2 linked regions of the Xenopus tropicalis genome follow. The protein of the gene in region 1 purifies or fractionates together with the protein of each later gene. This does not show direct contact. Links are inferred from orthologs where the notes say so. Each region holds a gene or a part of one and is shown in the gene's direction. Other genes may lie near its edges. The genes, in order: casp3.2 and cryab.

Region 1 (3,938 bases):
TTAAAGGGGAGCTGTTGCTACTGTAATGAAATGTATTTTTTTTCTTTACAGTTGTGTAGATTCATGATTTATTGATGAATTTCTCAACCCATCATGTTTTTCCAGAAGTTCCAACTAATCCCATGGCCCCAAGGTGATATAAGGATCCAGTTCCACATATTTTACACCTCATTCCTTTTCAATAAAAATGTCAAATAAATAGAAATAAAATTTCTATTAAAAAAGCCCCAATACCATTCAAGTTTGTATTATTGAGAAAAAAAATCCACCCCCTGTGCCCATTGACAGGAGAATACTACAGAGTAGGATTTGCTTTCATACTTAACCTCCTCATTATAACTAATTATAACTAATGAATATAACTATAACGTGCAACATATACGTCACCCGACCTTTTCCTTCTCATATCTCCAAACAATGCGCACATCAGCTCCCGCTGCAATATACAAATTTCCCGCCCATTCCCAAACATATTATTACTCCGCCTCTACTGCTGCAAGGTAAAGGCTGGGAGCTATATCATGCAGAAACTGCATTCCCAGAGAATTCGTCTATCGTTTGTCTTCAGCCTCCAGTCACGAACTCCTAATAGCTGCACTAGTTCATTAACTATGTAAGAGCTGGAGACCCAGCAGGAATATCCCTGCCATGGAGATATAGAGGTAACTTCGCCAGCATTCCGCTTCTGATTGGCAGAATGGCGTTACGTCACCAGTTGCTCCGTTTAAGGCCCAGCCCATTGGTCGGAACGTTTCCGTATTGTTCGTTTACAGGTTCCCCTGAGATAGCTTGGGATAGGCGAGCGCTCGACCAATCAGGCTGTCTCTCTGGATTAAACCCCCCTCCCTTACTATTTTGTGTGAGGTCAGCGCTTGTGTTGTTGCTGTCTTGGAAAAACACGCCAGACACAAAAGCAGCAAGGAAGGAACGGAGCAGCCTGTACTGTACTCTCCGCTATAGCCGCCTTGTCTCTGGGTAAGTGTGCACAATCCTAGTGCGGTATTTTTATATACACACATACATAATGTATTTATATGCCCGCCGGGTAGGAAAACAAGTTATGTCGGATGTGCTGTAATGACAAGAGGCGCTACATTCTCTATGTACGTGGCATACACCTTTATAATGTGTTCTTTTCTGCTTTAAATATTCTTTGTACCAGACTTTTGAACACATTGGCACTGAGTACCCAGGCTAGTGTGTGCTAACTAGCTTTTATAAGTTCATTCTTATGTACAGGCAGCCTGTAGTTTCCTGTAAGGCACCTCTATCAGCTCCCGTTGTTCTAATTCGTGTAAGGTAAATTATTAAAAAAAAAACCAACTTCCTATGAGCATATATTTTCTGCAAGCACTTCCTTAAAATAGTAAATTGTTGTTTATTTCTTTCTGAAAGCAGCATGTAAAATTTGAAAATGTTTGATTTTGTGTTTCCATATCAGAATGTTTCCTGGTAGTTATTTTATTGTCTGTTTTTCCTGCCATACCACAGCAGTCCTGTCTTGCTTTATGGCAGGAATTATAGTTACATGCTTTGGTGCAGCTGTGCCCTTTGTCCATATGTGCACATTTCACTAGCATCTAGGCACGTGTTCTAATAAGTAATTATAAAATCATACACTCGTGTACATTTGTGTATGTTGGCCATGGTATGAAACACAAGTAGACCAGGGTGTTGAGTACAGGTGCTTTTTAACAGTCCATGGAACTTAGAGGAAACCATTTACTAATAAGTACAGAACATAGAATAGAATGTTTTTTTCGTGTTTTTGATACATGTATTATTCTGTCACTATGAGCACTGTACAAGCCTCGTGAAAAATCTGCACAGCCCACAAGGGACTTGTACATGTAATAATGTAACTCACTAATGGCTGGCATGGGGTACATTATTCCCTAAGTATCCTGAAGCACACATTTTTCATTTAGATCATAATCCTATAATACACTGTGGTAGAGGGACAGTCTACTTCTTGTACTAGGAAGGTAAAAGATATAGATTGAGTGCTATGTTTTCTGTCCTAATTTTTATTATCCAGTCAGTTTTATTGTATAAGATAAAGATATAATATATATAAAATAACTCCCTTCATATCTAGGTACAGTATATGATCTGTGTCCTCTCCACCACAGAGTGGGCATCTCAGCCCAGTGCCTGTATATTTCAATGTATAGTGTCCCTTTAAGAATGCAAGTTTGTTATTTCTGATATTGAAGTTACAAGTTTACACATGTACCTGTGCAAGGCAAACAAATTGTTGATAAAGTAGATAAGATTATTTTCACTGACCGTGACATGATTCATGTAATAAGTATCATCATTAGCTTGTGGAGGCTTGTGTGTTTGTGTATAAACATCAACATGTTTCATTTCTCTTTGAACCGCTGTGGCGAACCAAAACGCACCGATGTGGTGAATGATGTGAATCATCAATAAACCCTTCTTTTTTCTCCGTGTGTGCTTCCAGTTCGTGGAGATATTTGACTTGTTTGGGAAGCACCCAGAACTTATTTGGAGTGTGGTGAGTACCTGTATCTGTTCTAACTATGTATAACTTATATATAGTGTATTTAGTGTATTCCTATTATCCTTATATTTGACATCACTGAGCTCTATCTATCTAGCTATATCTCTGGTTATTACCACATGCCCTTTCCCTTGGGCAACTTGTTTTTCAACATTGGTAAACTTAACCCAGTCCAATGACCGATTTACATTTGGCAGCCTGGAGCTTTTATTAATCTAGCCTTAGTGAGCTTCTTCTTCAACTTCAAAGCTTTATTACAGGGGACATATAGGAGGAATATTTTATAAGTGGGAAGTCACTTGAAGTCAGTGATAAGTACTTTAAATGTAAAGCTTATATAAAATGTATATAAATACACACACACACTGAAACCGTCAGGATTTAGGAGATCAGAAGTGTTAAAAATTGGGCCTTTGCTCTGATATAAAGTACAGCTGCTAACATTCTCAGATGTTCATGTGAACTGTTGTTGCAAACAGCTGAAGAGTCACTAGTTTTGTCAGCACTGATCTAGGGATGTGGAGAAGGAATAAATGAGCTAAACATGAGGGCAGGAGCCTTGTAAGACTACTGAGGTGAAAGTGTAGGTAGCAGTCAGGGTGTTAGGCATAATAGTAGAAAACAAATGGGCATTTTACTGATGTTTATTTATATGTGTTATTTTAACATCCATGAAGGTGCTTCCCAGTAAGGGATTCATATAGATAGACCCCCCTTCCTTTGCTTCTCAGCATTTGTTGAGCAACCCTTTCCAATAATCATTTCATATATCATGTTATTGTAATTAGAGAGCTGCAGGTTATATCAGTCTGATGAATTATCTTGATAAAGTTTATATTAAAAACCAAGTAACAATTTTGCAAAAAAGCCAGTGGTGTGTGGACTGAGATCCTTGTACAGGTATGGGACCTGTTATCCAGAATGCTCTGGACCTGGGGTTTTCCGCATAAGGGATCTTTCCATAATTTGGATCTTCATACCTTAAGTCTGCTATATAATTAATCCAATAAGGATTAATTATATCTTAGTTGGGATTAAGTACAAGGTACTGTTTTATAATTACAAAGAAAAAGGAAATCATTTTTAAAACTTAGAGTTATTTGCATATAATTGAGTCTATGGGAGATGGTCTTTCTGTAATTCGGAACTTTCTGGATAATGGATTTCCGGATAAGGGATCCCTGGATCTGCAGTGAATACATATTATCTCTCTTCTTTTAGGTCAGCCTATTCTTCCACCCACTTTATTTATCCAGTCATTCTCCTTTATGCTTTGGTAGAGACCCCTTAGGGTTTCCTATGATGTGTTAATATGCACACTCCCCAGGGCCTACCATTCCTAGGCTTCCTTAGTTTACCATGCCCAGTCTAGGTCTGAAGAAAATATAACATAAAAAAAAAGCAATGCTTT
Region 2 (2,629 bases), on another chromosome or scaffold:
CAAGACTGAAGGTGAAATAGTGTAAGTAAAGTTTATTTTGCTCTACTAACCTGATCCAAAAGGATTTGTAATTATTTCTTAGGGTGACAGGTCCCCTTTAAAATAGCAATTTTCTATTTAGGGGTAACCAATGGCACATAATACTAATAAATAAGTATATTTTTTAAAAAATGGTTTATTTAGATGAATCAGGGTTTTACATATAAGCTTGTTTATGCAATATATTTGTAAAGATTTCCCTTAAAGGAGAACTAAAGCCTAATTAAAGAAGGCAGAAATGTTGTACATTATATTTTGGGTTTCTGTACTAGCCCTAGGCAAGCACAGCCCTTTACCAGGGAAGATGTGTGCCTCCAAAGATACCCCAGTAGCCCCCCATCTTCTTTTCTCTATTTTGCTCTGTGCTGCTGTCAGTTACTGAGCTTATGGACCGACTCAAAATATACTGCATAGAGTATAAATGTAACATTAAAAAACTGATTAGTTTTTTTTTGATTCATTCAGATTCACATTACATGACAGATCTAAAACCAAGGCATTTTCATCAGAATTGAATAATCAACCCTGCAGCATCAGCTTACTGTATATGACAACCCCTAAGCTCAGCTTCTCAACAGCCGCTCAGAGCGCACTGAGCACGTGCAGTGTCCCAGACAGTTTCTGGGGGGGAACAGAATCCATGGGAGATGGGGAGCTCCTGTGACAACTGTAACAACCTATATCATTACTACTATAGAGATGCCAGTGGAGTCAGTTTATTATTATAAAATATGGAATTTATAGGCATATTCATTTTTAGGGTTTAGTTTTCAAGGAATTATATTTACAGTTAGCATCTACAAGTATGGAAACCATTATCCAGGAAACCCATTATCTAGAAAACTCTGATTTATGTGAAGGCCATCTCCCATAGGCTCCATTTTAAAAAAAATAATTCCATTTTTCATTGTAATGATAAAACATTATACTGTACTTGATGAAAACAAAGCTTTGTAAATGCATATTAGTGGCACAACAATCCTATTGGGGTTATTTAATGGTTAAATCATTTTTTGCAGACTATGGGGGCCATTTAATAACTGTTGGATTTTTTTTATTTTGATTCGGATTTTTATTGCTAAAAGTTGCAGCAAAAAAAATTGCAACTGTCAAAATAGCTAAAAATCCAAATTCAACAATTTGACAGCTAAATCTTGTTAAGATCATGTTGAAATCAATGGCAGATGCCCCTTTCCTGGAGGATGAGGATGTTTCCCTTCAGAGTTTTCAGATTTTTGACGTTGCTTTTCTGTGCAACAATTCAAAAAAGTTGCAGTTTTCTTACGACAAAGTTGAAAATTCTGAATTTTTGTGACTTTTATGCAACTTTTCCAGTTCAGACTTTTTAGTAAATGTAAGAAATTCATGAAAACGAATTTATTTAAATTTTACAATAAAAAAAATGAGATATTAGTTTTAGTAAATCTGCCTTTTAAGGTATGGAGATCCAAAGTATGTAAAGATCCCTTATCCGGAAAACCTCAGTTCCCAAGCATTCTGGATAACTGAGTCTATATATTTAAATATTATGTTTCAGGATGAACATGGCTATGTTTCCAGAGACTTCCAGCGAAGATACAAAATTCCATCAGATGTTGACCCTCAATCCATCACTTCAACTCTGTCTCCAGATGGTGTGCTGACAGTCTCTGGACCAAGAAAGGTATCTGAAGTCCCTGAACGCTGCATCCCTATTACTCGTGAAGAAAAGGTAGCCATCAGCAGTACTCTTAAAAAGTAGGACCTGTTGACTCTTCCAAGCACCAATGATACCGTTCCACCCTGCCATGATTAAAAGCTCATACTAATCAGATACATGTTTATATGATGCGTTATGACCAAAGCATATTACTACTGCAAATAAAGCAAAGATAAGCATTTGGTTTTGTAATATTGCTTTTATATGAGTAAGGGTATATATATTAAGCCTACTGAGATGCTTTAGAGTTATCCTGTAGCTGACACCAGATTAATAATGTACCTGTTAAAGCAGAAATTTAAACTAAAATGATCCTTTTATTGCTGGTATTATAAGGCAACTGCAACATAAATTCATTTTTGAAATTAACTTTTCATTGTACAGCTTTTCTGTTTGGAATTTCCAAAATTATCTGGTTGCCAGGGTCATTGGCAGTGACTTTAATGACACTATTGGTACATTAAAGGAACAGTAACACCAAAAAATGAAAGTGTATAAAAGTAATAAGAATAAAATATACTGCTGCCCTGCACTGGTACAACTGGTGTGTTTGCCCCAGAAATTTATATAAACAAAGCTGCTGTTTAGCCACGGGGGCAGCCATTTAAAGGAGAAAAGGCACAAGCACATAGGAGATAACAGATAAACACTATTGTATTCTAGAGAGGTCATCTGTTATCTGCTATGTAACCTGTGCCTTTTCTCCTTTTTTCCAACTTTAATGGCTGCCCCCATGGCTACACAGCATAAATATAAACTATAGTAGTATTACTGTACCAACCACACAACTTTTACCAGTGCAGGGTATCAGTACATTATATTTTAATTACTTTCAAAAACTTTCATTTTTTGGTGTTACTGTTCCTTTAATCTCCTCTGTTGTTGCCAGCA

Evidence for each region.
Region 2: the proteins of casp3.2 (region 1) and cryab purify together in Homo sapiens (affinity purification with western blotting; 3 studies listed by BioGRID). This does not show direct contact. The link is inferred for Xenopus tropicalis from reciprocal best matches to the Homo sapiens genes CASP3 and CRYAB.

What each region holds. Positions count from the first base shown.
Region 1 is NC_030677.2:44,844,245-44,848,182, forward strand, and holds the start of casp3.2 (caspase-3), read left to right. Parts: upstream 1-894; 5' UTR 895-975; intron 976-2,467; 5' UTR 2,468-2,521; intron 2,522-3,938. UniProt on the Homo sapiens protein: Thiol protease that acts as a major effector caspase involved in the execution phase of apoptosis. Following cleavage and activation by initiator caspases (CASP8, CASP9 and/or CASP10), mediates execution of apoptosis by catalyzing cleavage of many proteins.
Region 2 is NC_030683.2:84,496,376-84,499,004, reverse strand, and holds the end of cryab (alpha-crystallin B chain), read left to right. Parts: intron 1-1,576; coding exon 1,577-1,780; 3' UTR 1,781-1,930; downstream 1,931-2,629. UniProt on the Homo sapiens protein: May contribute to the transparency and refractive index of the lens. Has chaperone-like activity, preventing aggregation of various proteins under a wide range of stress conditions.